Linked DNA regions of Arabidopsis thaliana. The protein of the gene in region 3 interacts with the protein of the main gene of each other region in a pairwise test. Each region holds a gene or a part of one and is shown on either strand. Other genes may lie near its edges.

Region 1 (6,172 bases), on a different chromosome or scaffold from region 3:
AGGCCTTTGGACTGGAATTGAGTGATAAGGCTACTGATATTATTAAATGGTGATGGTAAGTTTAATAAGGCCTCAGTGATGTTTGTAACCAGACCGTCTCTTCGTCCCGTTTCAACCTCCCACGACGGTCCATTGAGCTGAACATATATTGATTGGTTATCATAAAATACATGATGTTAAAAGTTCAACACAACATATAATACATAATTTTTTTTATGGATATATTTTCTTTAATATATTAGTCAGAAAATCTCAGATAGAAAGCTGAACTAGTCTCTTGAAAATTTAAGTCAAGTGCATTTTGTAGCATCAAAAAAATAGAAGAATACGCCCAACCCTATTTATGATGTCTATAATCGCCATGTGAACTTTGTAGTAATAAATACAAGGAGCGTGTAATAAAGACACCGTGAGCTCTGACCAAATATTAGATCACATGATAGTAAGAATTTATACTTACCGCAACCATTGCGTCTCTAGCGACAAGAGCCAATACATCAGAGCAAGAAACAATGCCCGGACACTCCTTTTCTAGAGCTGCCTTGACATTGTCTATGATCTCAAATCCTCGAAGGGTGAGGTTAGGAATTGAGTTTTTCTCATCTTTTTTGTTCTTTAGCTCTAGCAATACCGACCCTTCGCATCCCTAAAACATCATGATTCAATCATTAGATCACAAGGTGTCAAAAAGACTAAAAGGAAAATTCAGGATGTCAAGAAAGGACATTACCCTAACGAAGCAATCGTGGAAGAACATCCTGAGCAAAGGAGCTGCAATTGTCCGATCATTCTTCACAGCCTCGAAGACAGACTTTTTGACAATAAGCTCGGCTTTGGGGCATGCCTTGTCGTAGAATCCAACTTTCAATCCTTGCACATTTGTTGGAGCAAATGAAGAGAGCAAGCAATATATTACTTGAAGAAACAAGAAACAAGAGATAGTCATCTTCAAAGCAGCCATATTATTATTAGCTCCTCTTTTTGACAGATGATCGATGATACTAATTGAGTTAATATTGTTGTTGTTATTTATACTAACGTGCTTATGTAATAATGTCACGGAACTTGTTAGTACTATAGTTTAAGGTTGAAATACAAAAATACAAAGTGTTCGTGGTTACATCATTGAATTTTAAAGACAAAGATATAGGAATTTTTTGTAAATTTGTTGAATTTTATATTGTTGTTTGTGGAATATATATAGCTGTCCTTTGTTTATGGCTTATCGTCTTCGTTGATGTTTATTACTATTTACACCAGAAAAAGGGTGCCAATGATTTTAAACAATGAAAAAAATAACCAACACAAACTTAATAAGTTTTTGAAATTTGGCAATATTCAGATCTTTTCGTCAACTAGGTGTTGTAACGAATAAGAAAACACTTGATAACGAATAATGGTAATTTGTCGATAACTAACTTGAAATCGACAAGTAAACCACAAGAAAAAACTATATTATACGTATAACAATTAGAATGGAACACAAGCCGTCCATAGCTATCTAATTTACACGTAGACAATGACTGGTAGGTAGGAGGATTAACAATGAACAATATTGCTTGTGACATTTGACTTCGCAACTGAAAAGTGACAATAATACGGTAGGAGAACAAAATAATACATCTTAAAAATTTGATTAACATAATATAATCAATATCCTTTATCTTACAAACTCTTTGGAGTTAAACTACATTGTTTAATCTTTGGACTTGATCACAATTATTTTGTCCACGTAACAATCTGCATGTTCATCCAATTCCAATCACACTCATTCGAATATTCGATTGTAACATTTCAACGTAATGGGAAGATAAAATATGTTAATCATACTATTATTTTTGGGCAAGGTTCGGACACGTGTCAATTGAAAAAAATGAAGAAAAAAAAATGTCTGAGCCCGGGTTCGAACCGGGGACCTCTAGTGTGTGAGACTAGCGTGATAACCGACTACACCACCCAGACTTTGATGACAATGTTTCTTAAATTAATATATTGTACAACTTCACAAGCCAAAGACCCATCGGCTGATGATGATGCGGTTGTCTGATTGTCGCCGCCGGCGTGGAGAACCGTTACCGTTACTATGAATTTCTTGCCCATTATTCTCCATTGAAACATCCCAAAATTTTCGCTAGTTAGTTCACTGAAACGCAGCGTTTTGCATCTTCTTCTTCTTCCTTGGTTCAATTCAACCTCAGACACTTGTCTTCCTTAATGGCTCACTCTCAGGTAATTCAAAACAAAACCCTAATTTCCGTTTCTTCCAATTACAGAAAATTCGATGTCTTGCTCTGATTTATGTATCTGTTGCAGGTTGCTTATTTGATTCCATTGAAAGCAGATTTAAAGGAAGACAATTCATCTCCAAGGATAACTTTATCCGAAGGTCCAAACATCATTGGCCGTGGCAACGTTTCAATCGTCGATAAGCGTCTCAGTCGCAAACACATCACCATTATCGTTTCCACTTCTGGCTCAGCTTCGTTGTCAGTGGTAATAACTATAACAACATTAAAAATTATAACTTTGGCTTCTTATCGAATTGAATCATGTCAAGTTTGTGTCTTTTGGGTAGGACGGAACAAATCCGGTTGTTATTAGGTCTTCCGGTGACGGAGAGAGAAAGAAAGTGAAACCTAGTGAAGAGGTTTCAGTATGTAATGATGATCTTATTGAATTGATCCCTGGTCACCATTTCTTCAAGCTAGTTTTGCTCAATGGAAGAGCTGCTAAGAAAGCTCGAAAGGTAACTTATTTGGCTTAACCAAAGAATGTTGCTTTTTTTGTTGTTTCTTTGAGGCTTTGTTTGATGTGATGGAACTGTTTTAGGCTGAAGACGATGTAGAGGCCATTCGTCGTTTTTGTCCACCTAATGAGAAACTACCTTCAACATTTCGGCTTTTGAGTGTTGATGCATTGCCTGATTGGGCTAATACTTCTTGTGTTTCCATTAATGATGTCATTGAGGTTAGTCTCATGCTAAGCATATTATTTCATTTGTTTTGTTCAGATATCATTGCTAAAGATTGTATTTGTAAATGACAGGGAGACGTTGTTGCTGCGATCTTATCGAATTATATGGTTGATATAGACTGGTTGATGTCAGGTGAGTTTTCTCATAATCTTCTGTGTTGAGTTTGTCCAAATGATTAGTTCTTTTGTTTACATTCATGGGGGTGTTGTTTTTCGATTTTCTCGAGTCTGTTAGCTGAAGTTGGTAATTTGCATATATCCTTTTGTAGCTTGCCCAAAACTGGCCAACATTCCCCAGGTTATGGTTATTCATGGAGAAGGTGATGGTAGGCAAGAGTATATTCAGGTTTGTTATGACAGTTTTTGCTCATTTCTTTTGATTGATGTTTATGGTAGACTAAAAATCTCCAATATTTGTTTTGTTTAACAGAGGAAGAAGCCAGCTAATTGGATTCTTCATAAGCCTCGGTTACCTATTTCATTCGGGACACACCATTCGAAGGCTATATTTCTTGTCTATCCTCGAGGGGTGAGAGTTGTAGTACACACCGCGAATCTGATCCATGTTGATTGGAATAACAAAAGCCAAGGTTTGTGGATGCAAGATTTTCCTTGGAAAGATGATGACAAAGATCCACCTAAAGGTTGTGGATTCGAAGGTGATCTCATTGATTACCTCAATGTTCTTAAGTGGCCTGAGTTTACTGCAAACTTACCTGGCCGTGGTAATGTCAAGATCAATGCAGCCTTCTTCAAAAAGTTTGATTATTCTGATGCTACGGTACTTTCTATTTCTCTAAACTCTTTTGGTTGATTTATATACTTATTTGTGTACTAATAATATGCAACAAATTTTAAGGTTCGACTAATTGCTTCAGTCCCTGGATACCACACTGGTTTTAACTTGAACAAATGGGGACACATGAAGCTACGGACTATTCTTCAAGAATGCATTTTCGATAGAGAGTTCCGCAGATCCCCGCTAATCTATCAGGTAATGTTCCATTCCAAGTTCTCTTTTTGCAATTGTATTACTTGTAAAAAAGTCTTCTTCTATAATTATTCCGTATTGCAGTTTTCTTCACTTGGTTCTTTAGACGAGAAGTGGTTGGCTGAGTTTGGAAATTCTTTGTCTTCTGGTATAACAGAGGACAAAACTCCTCTCGGTCCCGGGGATTCGTTGATAATATGGCCTACAGTAGAAGACGTCAGATGTTCTTTAGAGGTTATCCGCACAATGATTACATCTTTTCTTATATAGATTATTGATTTTTCTTCTGAACCGTGAAATCTTCAAACCAAAGGGTTATGCTGCTGGCAATGCAATTCCGAGCCCATTGAAGAACGTGGAGAAACCATTCTTGAAAAAGTATTGGGCTAGATGGAAAGCGGATCATAGCGCTCGCGGGTAATTTAGAAAAACCAAACCTTTACAAATCCAACTTATGAGTACTACTCAATTCTGATCCTTTTTAATGTAACAGTCGTGCCATGCCACATATAAAGACGTTCACACGTTACAACGACCAGAAGATTGCGTAAAGTTCATCAAGTCTCAATCTGTAGTTGCTCTGTTAGTACCTTTTGTGATTAATGTTCTTGTTTTGCTTCCACAGATGGTTCTTACTAACCTCATCGAATCTTAGCAAAGCGGCCTGGGGAGCACTTCAGAAGAACAATTCACAGTTGATGATTCGTTCCTACGAGGTAAAATTCCAAAACCTGTGTTTTCATGTATCAAAGTCTGATCTTTGTAACCACTAACTACATTCCATTGACTGTAATATTGTTAGTTGGGCGTCTTGTTTTTACCATCTCCAATAAAAACACAGGGTTGTGTATTTTCGTGCACTGAGAGCAACCCGAGTGTTATGAAGGTAAGAAGATCTAAAATTCCAAAACCTGTAAACCCGGACACAAACTGTGATCTTTCCCTCTTAATTGTGCTTTGTCAACAGGCAAAACAAGAGACGAAAGACGAGGTAGAGAAGAGGAGTAAGCTAGTGACAATGACCTGGCAAGGAGACCGAGATTTGCCTGAGATAATCTCATTACCAGTTCCTTATCAACTACCTCCTAAGCCATACTCACCCGAAGGTATTTTCCCTATTCATTATCCAGCAAATATAACTTCTTTCTTTCTCAAGTTATTAACGTTTTTACTGGCATTGTGATTTTCAGATGTTCCATGGTCATGGGACCGAGGCTACTCGAAGAAAGATGTGTATGGACAAGTCTGGCCAAGATAGTTGATGATAGCTTTAGTAGCTCTATGACTTGAGACTTGAGAGAGTGGCTTTATGGGTTTTACTCACTCAGATATTGAAGACTTTATAATCTTTAATTTAATGCTAAGCGATGAACAACCAGACGGATAAACAAAAATTAGTGTGAAACTGATTGAAGTCTGTGGATTAATCCGGATTAGTCCACCAATGGATAGGATTAGTATTGATAAAGTTCTTTTAATTTTTAGTATGTGAAAGAAAATTGACCTGTCGGCTTCAGTCTGCCGTACCAACGAGGTTGAAAGGTTAAAAATCTCGTGGGCCAAATAGAGAATTTTACGGGTTGGCTCATTTTTAATTTTGTATATATGTGAAGTCATATTAGGCAAGTGGTTTAATTAGGCAAGTGGCTCATATATATGTTAAAAATTTGTAATTCTTTTGCTTGTTGGCATTTTACTTTTGTCCGAGGAAATTGAATTTGATTAAGCTATCACATGTGTTGAAGAGCATAGTGTAAAGTCCAAACATAATTAGCATAAGTGATAAGTACGAACCACAAACACAAAACAATAGACATAGAAATTGGAGACATAAGGTATTTTTTCATATTATTATGACAGAAGTGTGTCGTTGGTTACAAGAAAGTGAGAAACCTACGATTTTAATTCGAGACAGAAAATCAAGAACGAAAACAAAAATGAAGAAGAAATTTTGGTGGTTTATATTCGATAGACATTTAGAATACAAACAGATGCAGACAAGGATTCACAATCAATGTCTACATTGCCAAGAACACCCGTCCCTCTCTTTGATGATTTGGCCTTTTATCATATCTATCAATTATTTTAAGATAATAACATTCATAAGTTATTTGCTACTAGTTTTTGATATGCAATTTAGTCCTCGAATCTTGAGAAGAGCCAATCACAATTATGATATTGATTAAGAACGATCTTTCTTCTGACCAT
Region 2 (5,365 bases), on a different chromosome or scaffold from region 3:
CTCAGTTTATGCACAGACCAACCAATGATCATTGGCAAGCTGCAAAACGAGTTCTTAGATATTTGGCTGGAACTACGACTCACGACATTTTCTTTGCTGCTCAAAACGAGCTCTCCCTTCATGCCTTTTCAGATGCAGATTGGGCCGGAGACTCAGAAGATTGCGTTTCAACAAATGCTTACATCGTTTACCTCGGGAAAAATCCAATCTCATGGACTGCCAAGAAACAAAAGAGCGTTGCAAGGTCTTCAACAGAAGCTGAATATCGATCGGTGGCAAATACTGCTTGTGAAATCCAGTGGATATGCAGCCTTCTCACGGAGCTTGGGATCACACTTCCCAAACCGCCTGTGGTCTATTGTGATAATGTGGGTGCTACTTTCCTTTGCGCAAACCCGGTTTTCCATTCCAGGATGAAGCACATAGCCATAGACTATCACTTTATTCGTGGACAAGTTCAGCAAGGCATTCTTCGTGTGGCTCACGTCAACACTAGAGACCAACTCGCTGATGCATTAACAAAACCGCTTCCTCGAAATCACTTCACGGAACTTCGAGACAAGATTGGAGTGTGCATAGCCCCTCCATCTTGAGGGGGCGTGTTAAGGATACATAGGATCATCTCTCTTTAATATCATAATATTCCTCTGTCTCCTTTATGGAACATTCTATATTTGTACAACCCTAGTGTAACCTCCTCTGTACTTGTATATATACTTGTGTAAAGCTATTCGTATAATATAAGTCATTACATTCTTAACAAGATTAACTAACTAATATTTTCATTTTTTGGTTGATAATCAATGATTCCATGGCATGCACGCACGAAGTCATGTGTTGTCTCTACAATGGCAGCCACTTAAAAAACCTACCAAACCATTTACAAATGCTTAACTACAATTTTGTTTAGCAGCCCCCTTATCATATATGTACCCACCCATTTATTGTTTCATTCATTCATGTGGCTCTTCAGCATAACTGCAAGATACTAGAGGCCACAAATTGCAGTAATTTGTATTTTGGAGTTAATACCTTTGATTTAGGACACTAATTATCTCGAGCACTTGATCAGCCAATCTAAAAGGTTGTCAAATCAAAATAATAGAAGTGTCGAAATCAAAATCAGACCAAAACCATCAATTTTTTTGCAATAGCAAGAAGAATTCAAAATTTGCTGGACCTGGACCAGTCTAATCTTTATGTCATATCATTAGCTCTTGTCGTCACCATATATTATAAATCATTTTGTTGGTAAATAAATGAAAAAAAAAAACTTTTCGACCTTTCTCCATCAAAGACCTTTTACAAAATTCCAAACCCAAAACTTTAGGTTAAATTCCTCGCTCCAGCCAGTATGTAATTACGTAAGCAACTATCAATTAAATATACAACTCAATTCACAATCATGAAGATAACTCGAATACAACGTGTTTTAGTATCATTTATATTTCGTAAGGAAAATAAGCTTACCGTTTATTGCTCAGACTGTAACGTCACGTGCCCACATGTTTGACCTTACACTCCATCACAATCTGCATTTCGAAGAATCCGATAAGATTGGAAATGATTTATATAATCGAACCACATTGTGGAACATTCAAGAGGAATCCACATTAGACAATCTAATAAACTGTTTAATATTTTGAAAAGAAAGATTTTACATGCAAATGGAAAACAAAGATCTCCGCGTCTCAAGTTATTTGAAATCTCATTTTGCATATGGTCGGTTATTACCGTTGACTTTTAACTTTATCGTCCATCCCAATGAAACAACACTTGAAATATGTAAAAAAAATAGCAAAATTGACCCAAAAAAAAGAAGGACTTAACGGATCAGTGATTATTTTCTTCGAGGCAAAACAATTACATGCAAATGGAAACAAAAGCCAATTCACACGCATAAAAGTCACAATTTTTACCTTATAATATTCCTACAACTTAAAATAACATAAAAAAAAATGTCTTTATCGAAACATCACTAAAGAAAAAGAAATCTCTCTATAGTCTTTATCTTAGTATTTAATTTCTCCATCTTCCTTATGATCCATTATGCCCAAAGTCCTTCTTCTTCTTCTCTATAATTACTTCCACAAATAGAAGAAGAAGAAGAAGAAGAATAATATAGAAAAAAAGAGAGCTTCTCTTCTTATTTCTTTCTCACAGGAAATGGTGTTTGGTTGGAGAAAAGCGTTTTGCACTTCCGTTTCAAGTAATCAAGATAAACCTCAACAACATTCATCATTACACACTACTGATCCTCCAATTCCCACACCAAGATTCCGATCAAAGTTTGGTTTTTTATCCAACCCTTCAACTCCTCGTCTCCGATCACGCGGCGGAAGCGGCACTGGATGCCGCTCCTCAGCTTCCACATCAGTCACTATCCCATCTCTTCCAACTAGTCCCAAACTCCATTGCAGGACTACGAGCAATGCTACTCCAAGGACTAGTAACAGCTCAAGTCCCAAGTTTTTCTCTAACCCTTCTTCTCCTAAATCATCATCTTCTTCTTCCTCTCAAGGCGGCGGCGGCGTCTCTCTCCTCCGTGCCACGCTTCTTCTCAACAAGGTAGTTACTTTTGATTCAATCAAGTTCTTAATTTGAAAGACATAATCTAAAGCTCCGTTTTGTGTGTGTGTGGATGCAGAGTAATAGTAGTAGATGTGCGATTTGTTTGCAGAGAGTGAATTCAAATCAAAGCAACTCGACGGCGGCAATTTTCACGGCGGAGTGTTCACATTCGTTTCACCTTTCTTGCGTCAATGGATTAGAAGACAAGCGTTGTCCGTTTTGCTCTGCCGCATGGAATCACGCGCCAAAGTCGAATTATCCGGCTGTTAATAATAACTTCGGATCCGACCCGATTAGACGACCCGAGATCCGAGAGATCAAAACGGGGAAGTCACTGAGAGTGTACAACGACGATGAGCCGTTAGCTTATTCGCCGGTTTCTCTTGCTCAGATCAACACTATACATGAATCAGACGAAAACGACGACGTTGAAGATGACGATGACTTCCCCGGATTCTTCCGAGATTCTTCGATTACGTCTGATATGGTTCCTTCAATCTCAGGAAATCTGGAGGTTAAGTTGCTGCCGGAATCTGCCGTTGTGGAAACCGGGAAAAAGAAGGAGACACACGTCGTCATCATGAAACTAAAAGCGTCTCCGTCGCCGTCGTCCATCACCGATGCGATTAAGGCGCGAAGACCATCGATAGATCTGGTAACGGTTCTCGATTTAAGCAACGGCGGTGCTAATTTGCAAACGGTTAAACACGCGATGAGATCGGTGATCTCTCTTCTCCGAGAAATGGATCGTTTATCGATCGTCGTTTTCTCGACGGGGTCAAAACGGTTAATGCCGTTACGACGAATGACGGCGAAAGGAAGACGATCGGCGCGGCGAATGGTCGACGCACTCGGCGGAATGGAAACCACCGGCGGAGTTGGAATGAGCGTTAACGACGCGTTGAAGAAAGCGGTTAAAGTCGTTGAAGATCGGCGGGAGAAGAATCCGTCAACGAGCATCTTTGTTTTATCGGACGGTCAAGATCAACCGGAGGCAGTTTTGAAAGCTAAACTAAACGCAACGCGCATTCCGTTCGTCGTGTCTACCACGCGTTTCTCTCGTCCGGAGATCCCGGTTCATTCCGTTTACATTGCTTCTCCTGGAGCGTTGCTTCACGCGCCGCTACGAGACGCGTTCACCGAAAGAATCGCTTCGTTGCTCAACGTGACTCTCCATAACGTGAAGCTAAATCTCAGTTTGGTCAACGGATCTCATTTGACTGAGATTTCATCGGTTTACTCTTTAACCGGTCGACTCGAGAATTTCGGATCCGGTTCTGTCATCCAAGTCGGAGATTTGTTTGCGGAGGAGGAGAGAGAGTTTCTCGTTGAGCTCAAAGTGCCGACTTCGTCGAGTGGTTCCCACCAAGTAATGTCCGTACAGTCGTCGATCGTTGACCAAATGACACATCAGCCAATGACATGTCCTAAAGAAAAACGATTTTTGATCCCACGGCCACAATCCGTCAGATATGTATCTTCAAGCATCGAACGGCTGAGAAATTTACACTCCATGTGCCGCGCTGTAGCGGATTCACGCCGGCTTATCGAGCGTGAGGATTTATCCGGAGCGTATCAGGTTCTAACGACGGCTCGGTCCAATGCGTCTCATTCGGATGATAGTTTAAGGAGTTTGGAGGTTGAGCTAAATGAACTTAGCCGGATTAAACCGAGAAATAGTATATTAAACCGAACTGAAGATAAACCGGAGCAGCTTACCCCTACTTCGGCTTGGAGAGCCGCCGAGAAATTAGCTAAAGTGGCTATTATGAGGAAGCATTTAAATCGAGTCAGCGATATGCACGGCTTGGAAAACGCCAGATTTTAATTTTAATTTCCCTTTTTTTCGAAAATTCGATTTCAATGATTTTTGAATATATAATGGTACATAATTTATATAAGGAGGATAAGCAATAATTTAGTAAGGTATAAATAATAGAAGTATGATTATTCAGAAAAAGACCCACATAGGTGCATGATAGCGACAAGCAGTAGCCGACGGGTGTGGCCTTTTGTATTGCAGAGAGATTGAGACCCTACATTAGAAGGAATTAATTGGTCTTTTAGCATTTTTATCTTCTTCTTCCTTTTTGTAATCTTCAAAAACTCCAAATTAATGACTGAATAGTTAAAAAAAGTTGTAGATCAAATAAATGAAGTCTGCTTTTTTTGTGTACTATATAGAATTAAAAGTTGAGGTATAGTGGATTAGAGAGTGTGCTTGTAATGCTGGACTTCAAAATCAAAAGTTAAGTTTATATTATCATATGCCGTTTAACTTAAGAGGATCTATAATATATTATATCTTTCCAAATGAATGATCATGATTAGTCATGTGATCATCATTATAGCCTATTTTGTTATAGAAGGCACCGGGTTTGAATGATTTGAATAGTGCGTGGGGATTGTCTTTGTTGGTTGTTGGTGAATGGTTTGGTGGGTGCACCGTGGTAGAAACCAGGTCATGCGCCGTTGCAAAGCTTTCTTCTCGCTTAAATTCATTCATTTTATATCATTAAGACATTTACTAATTATATGTAGCTAGCGCCAAGTTGCAATTTGTTTTGAATGCAATGATTTTGTATACTTTTAAAATGGATGAAATGATTAACTATTGTCAAAGGTCCACTTCTCGATGTGATTCACTAAAATGATCAGTGGCAGAAGAATCTCGAACTATATATATGGTCAAATCATAACTAAAAAAACTAAGCTATTATTTTTTCACAAAAAAAAAAACTAAGCTATCATTCATCACGCAGTTACATATTGCATATGGACAATGTTAATGTCA
Region 3 (5,389 bases):
GCGTTACCGGATGCGTTGATTTCGAGGTTTATGATAACGAGGATATGGTCTTGTGTGGGAACCTAGATAGAATCGAAGGTGCTTGGAACAATGGAACTGTGAGTGATCCCAAGACTGGATGGGGCATGGATTGTTACATTGCTATGGGAAACGGACACGTGTCAGGTCCTTCTGCCTCTGTGTTTTTCCAGCCAAAGTTTGGAGTCTCGTCTCCGTCCGTCGAGGTTTATATAGCTGGTTGTTGTGGTGGTGTCCCGGTGATATTGACCAAGACGATTCAGGCGAGTCCGAGGAGGAAGGTGGCTAGGCACGTGACACTCGACGCTATCCCTGAGGATGAGGAAGTTGGCAAAGAGCAAGACATTGGTACCATTGGTGATGAATTGGCCCGTCAAAGCAAAGTACAGGTATGATTCTGATTTCACAATTCTCTGTTTGGTGATTGTCCAAGCCCTTAAGTTACGATTCTTAATAACTTGGGATTGAGATTTGAAAAGGTTGCTTCTTTCGTCTAGTTTTGTGAGTTATGAATGCTGTAGCAGATATTTAGTTATTAAGATCACTCGCAAGTTTCTGGTGAATTTAGCTCCTGCTTGAATGTTTTCTTTGACTCTACAGCTGAATTTGAAAATTGTAGAATTGTTGACTGATCAGAAATTGAGATATGGATATAGGTCAATAGACTCTCTTTGCACTTTTTTTGGTGCTTTATCTTGTTTGTCGTTTCGTTTATGCAGATGATGGAATCAGAAGTTGATGAATACGATGACTCAGATATGAAAATGGCACAGAGATATTACCCTGAAGGAATGTACGTTGATGAGGATGGTCAGCTCTCATGGTTCAATGCAGGAGTCAGAGTCGGAGTTGGGATAGGCCTTGGGATGTGTCTTGGTGTAGGCATTGGAGTTGGATTACTCATGCGTTCGTATCAAGCAACAACTAGTAACCTTCGTAGGAGGTTTCTCTGATCATCACCTACCATAAACTAAAAACCCACTTAGACATTTCGAGATCTACTAAGAATGTCGGTAACGTAGTGGGTTATAAAAGAGATAGAATTTTGGTAGATAGATGTATAGAGCTTTTGGTTTTCACCTGTTTGTGTCCTTTTGAATATATATATATATTCGGCTCTGTTCATATACTTTAGTAGCACAAAAGAGAGTTCCCATCTTGCTCCAGTCATGTTCTTTTGTTCTTTCTTTTCTCAAGTCTGTCTATGTCGTTGCTCTTGTGTAGAAAGAGATTTCGTGTTATTGTTGTTGTTGTCAAACGCTGGAGTTTGTCTTTCGGTTTCTGGTCAGGAAATAATGTGGAATAGGGAATGTACATGTTTCACCTGTATTCAGTATCTGTTTGCAATTAGTAAATTAAATTATTACAACAAGCCAAGTGGAAGACGGCGTCGTTTATCATAAATGTCAAACCGATGACGTCTTATCGGGGGAGCATGAGCATTGGACTAAAAAATTATTGTCAATTTGTTTAAATTGTATTTTGGGCCCTGAAAATTATTATAAATGAAATTTAGCCCCTTAATTTTGTAAGAGTTTACAACATTGAACCCTAAATCATTATGTTCCCAAAATCAAAATTTCACTCCTCGAGAGTAGCGAGAAGAAGGAGGAGATGAGCAAGATCCGTTCGTCTGCGACAATGCCACATCGCGACCAGCCGTCACCGGCGTCGCCTCACGTCGTTACACTCAACTGTATAGAGGATTGTGCGCTCGAGCAAGACTCCCTCGCCGGCGTTGCTGGTGTCGAATACGTCCCGCTCAGCCGCATCGCCGATGGTAAGATCGAGTCCGCCACCGCCGTTCTCCTCCATTCCCTCGCGTATCTTCCACGAGCAGCTCAACGCCGACTCCGTCCTCACCAGCTCATTCTCTGCCTTGGCTCTGCTGATCGCGCTGTCGATTCGACTCTCGCCGCCGACCTAGGTCTCCGACTTGTCCATGTAGATACTTCACGAGCCGAGGAAATCGCGGATACCGTCATGGCGCTCATCCTTGGACTCCTTCGACGGACGCATTTACTCTCGCGACACGCTCTATCGGCGTCTGGTTGGCTCGGATCGCTTCAGCCTCTTTGCCGGGGAATGAGACGGTGCCGTGGTATGGTTTTGGGTATCGTTGGCAGATCTGTATCGGCTCGGTATTTAGCTAGTAGAAGCTTGGCTTTCAAGATGAGTGTGCTCTACTTCGATGTCCCAGAGGTATGTTTGTTGGCAATGTCTCGCTAAGCTTTTAATATCTTAGTGTAAACTGACTCTTTAGGGACCAAAAAAAGTGCTGAGTTCTTAGCTACTACATTCCTAAACTGCTTACTATGATGGCTCTCTTTCAAGTTCCTCTCCCTTGGATGTTATATTTGTTGTCAATAGTTGCGTTTGCGTCTGTTCAGGGAGATGAAGAACGAATCAGGCCCTCGAGATTCCCACGTGCTGCTCGAAGAATGGATACATTGAATGATCTTCTAGCAGCAAGTGATGTCATTTCGCTACATTGTGCATTAACAAATGACACGGTTCAGATACTCAATGCAGAGTGTTTGCAGCATATAAAACCTGGTATGAGTTTTCTTGTCAAATGAAATTTGATTCTCCATGAATGTGAATTGAAGATGAACTTCTGCTTTCTCGCATTCCCTTCAATTCTGGTTGATTTTATGTATTAGGGGCTTTTCTTGTAAATACTGGAAGCTGCCAGCTGTTGGATGATTGTGCTGTGAAACAACTTCTAATTGATGGCACTATAGCTGGCTGCGCCCTTGACGGTGCTGAAGGTCCACAATGGATGGAAGCATGGGTATGACTTTCTTTTCCAGTGACTAAACTTCACATTTGCGCCTGCCTATTCTCTTGTTTCATCATCTTCTTCTGTTGTTTATCCTGCATCCATTATATCTTGTTTTCATTGCAGGTGAAGGAAATGCCAAATGTGTTAATTCTACCTCGCAGTGCAGATTACAGTGAGGAAGTATGGATGGAGATAAGGGAGAAGGCTATCTCTATCTTGCATTCATTTTTCTTAGATGGTGTAATTCCAAGTAACACTGTTTCTGATGAGGAAGTTGAGGAAAGTGAAGCAAGTGAAGAAGAAGAACAATCACCTAGCAAACACGAGAAATTAGCAATAGTGGAATCCACCAGTAGGCAACAGGGAGAAAGTACTCTCACCAGCACTGAGATCGTACGTAGAGAGGCTAGTGAGTTAAAAGAATCTCTGAGCCCTGGTCAGCAACACGTTTCTCAAAATACTGCCGTAAAACCTGAAGGAAGACGTAGCAGATCCGGTAAGAAAGCCAAAAAGAGACATTCACAGCAAAAATACATGCAAAAAACGGATGGTTCCTCAGGGTTAAATGAAGAAAGTACTTCACGAAGAGATGATATTGCTATGAGTGACACAGAAGAAGTATTAAGTTCCAGTTCTAGATGTGCTTCTCCTGAAGATTCCAGAAGTAGGAAAACACCTCTTGAAGTAATGCAAGAGTCTTCCCCAAATCAGCTTGTAATGTCAAGTAAGAAGTTCATTGGAAAGTCAAGTGAGCTACTGAAAGATGGATATGTAGTAGCCTTGTATGCGAAAGACCTCTCGGGCCTCCACGTTTCCAGGCAAAGAACGAAAAACGGTGGCTGGTTCCTCGATACTTTGTCCAATGTATCCAAACGAGATCCTGCTGCACAATTCATTATCGCATACAGAAACAAGGTAAACCTTTTTCTCTCTCTTACTTTTCATTTATCTTGCTTACAATGCCAGATAGACCATTATAAATTGGTTTTGGTGCATGAACTTGTTTTCCAGGACACTGTTGGTCTGAGATCATTTGCTGCTGGTGGGAAGTTACTGCAGGTAGCTCTTACATTAGAGAGTGTTACTTCCATTGGTAACTCAATGTTGCTCTTATGGAATCTAAAAGTGGTTGTGTCATGGGTGTGTGTGTGTGCAGATCAATAGAAGAATGGAGTTTGTGTTTGCTAGCCATAGTTTTGACGTGTGGGAGAGTTGGAGTCTAGAAGGTTCTCTGGACGAATGTCGGCTTGTTAACTGCAGGAATTCCTCTGTAAGTCTCTGTCCTTACAGAAAATGGCCCGAAATTGAAAAACCCTACTTCTTGGAAAACAGAAATAATTTGTGTAATGAATGTTGCAGGCGGTGTTGGACGTTCGTGTGGAGATATTGGCAATGGTAGGAGACGATGGTATCACACGTTGGATCGATTAAAAAGAAAAACAGAGTCTCTCCATTTGTGAGTTTCTCTCTTTTAATTACTTTTGTTACTTTAACATCCTTAGGATTCACAGACGAAAAACAGAGACACCCAATTTTTGTGTTTCGAGACTGTGTCGTGTGTTGTGTAGTTGGTATCAACCAACTTATATCTGTAATCATTGTTTCTTTTTATTTATTCTCGGTTTGCAGAAACATCCGATGAGCTTGTCTTAGAGGGACGTTTGTTGTTGTTTTCTGGGTCTGGTCGTGATGAACTCGAAAGCATTGTGTGTTTGGTTAGTAGTTTGAAATAGGTGTGTGTATTGTATTTGTATATGCTGCGTTTGTGTTTTAGAGATCATCGTACATAAAACACATCATCGTACATAACTAAAATTTGAGCTAAACTACAAAAGAAAGTAACCTTCATTTTTAGTCGAACCAGGCCCCAGCTAGGCAGCTATCTCGTAAATAAGATTGCTGGCTTACGATCGTATTCCACGTGGCAATTTATGTGCCGTGGATTTAAATTTGTACGTGGCATGAGTGTTAGGAGAATGTCCACATGGCTTGTAGTTGTTAGTCCCACGCTCTGAACCAGAGCAACCGGCTCCTTACACGTGTTCGGCTTAAATCCATTTTTCGAATGAGATTACACTTCTAACCTTGTCTCCCTCTCCCGCTTATACCACCACCACTCTCACACAAGTCTCTCAAGTCACAAACTCTGTTTCAAACCAAAAGGGAACTTTGTGTGTGTTGTCGAGTTTTATGGTGACTGTAAACCCTAGCCAAGCTCATTGTTTGCCTATGAAAATGAGTCTACCGGGTTTCAATACTCTTCCCCACACGGCAACAACGATACCGGTTTCCATACGGAGCAATAGGACGATGTCGTTTTTTGAGGATCCAACAAAGAAGGTTAGAAAGCCTTACACTATCACCAAATCTAGAGAGAACTGGACGGAGCAAGAACACGACAAGTTCCTTGAAGCCCTTCATCTGTATGTTGACACGGATTTCACTTCTCTGCCTTCATTTATCTGATTAATGATATATAGAATCTTTGAGATTTGTTCTTCTTCTTCTGATATGATCATGTCTATTTGATTGCAGATTTGACCGGGATTGGAAGAAAATAAAGGCCTTTGTTGGATCAAAAACAGT

What was found. Proteins that work in one complex are often made in the same cells at the same time.
Region 1: the proteins of AN (region 3) and TDP1 interact in a two-hybrid assay, tested with the Arabidopsis thaliana proteins (one large-scale study listed by BioGRID).
Region 2: the proteins of AN (region 3) and WAVH2 interact in a two-hybrid assay, tested with the Arabidopsis thaliana proteins (one large-scale study listed by BioGRID).

The regions. Positions count from the first base shown.
Region 1 is NC_003076.8:4,925,350-4,931,521, reverse strand, and holds TDP1 (tyrosyl-DNA phosphodiesterase-like protein), read left to right. Parts: upstream 1-2,019; 5' UTR 2,020-2,214; coding exon 2,215-2,229; intron 2,230-2,313; coding exon 2,314-2,493; intron 2,494-2,575; coding exon 2,576-2,746; intron 2,747-2,829; coding exon 2,830-2,967; intron 2,968-3,045; coding exon 3,046-3,106; intron 3,107-3,242; coding exon 3,243-3,319; intron 3,320-3,403; coding exon 3,404-3,754; intron 3,755-3,832; coding exon 3,833-3,967; intron 3,968-4,048; coding exon 4,049-4,198; intron 4,199-4,277; coding exon 4,278-4,381; intron 4,382-4,457; coding exon 4,458-4,511; intron 4,512-4,589; coding exon 4,590-4,680; intron 4,681-4,766; coding exon 4,767-4,850; intron 4,851-4,931; coding exon 4,932-5,070; intron 5,071-5,154; coding exon 5,155-5,222; 3' UTR 5,223-5,672; downstream 5,673-6,172. Other genes in the region: AT5G15180 (Peroxidase superfamily protein), read right to left, coding at 1-137, 461-646, 731-961. UniProt on the Arabidopsis thaliana protein: DNA repair enzyme that can remove a variety of covalent adducts from DNA through hydrolysis of a 3'-phosphodiester bond, giving rise to DNA with a free 3' phosphate.
Region 2 is NC_003076.8:26,259,306-26,264,670, forward strand, and holds WAVH2 (Zinc finger (C3HC4-type RING finger) family protein), read left to right. Parts: upstream 1-1,830; 5' UTR 1,831-2,166; coding exon 2,167-2,568; intron 2,569-2,647; coding exon 2,648-4,399; 3' UTR 4,400-4,865; downstream 4,866-5,365. UniProt on the Arabidopsis thaliana protein: Probable E3 ubiquitin-protein ligase involved in the regulation of root growth. Acts as a positive regulator of root gravitropism.
Region 3 is NC_003070.9:185,603-190,991, forward strand, and holds AN (NAD(P)-binding Rossmann-fold superfamily protein), read left to right. Parts: upstream 1-1,542; 5' UTR 1,543-1,632; coding exon 1,633-2,220; intron 2,221-2,408; coding exon 2,409-2,574; intron 2,575-2,681; coding exon 2,682-2,812; intron 2,813-2,926; coding exon 2,927-3,718; intron 3,719-3,814; coding exon 3,815-3,862; intron 3,863-3,959; coding exon 3,960-4,073; intron 4,074-4,162; coding exon 4,163-4,234; 3' UTR 4,235-4,870; downstream 4,871-5,389. Other genes in the region: AT1G01500 (Erythronate-4-phosphate dehydrogenase family protein), read left to right, coding at 1-407, 738-971; ASG4 (Homeodomain-like superfamily protein), read left to right, coding at 4,994-5,226, 5,339-5,389. UniProt on the Arabidopsis thaliana protein: Involved in controlling the equilibrium between tubular and stacked structures in the Golgi complex. Required for cortical microtubules (MTs) arrangement that confers cell shape.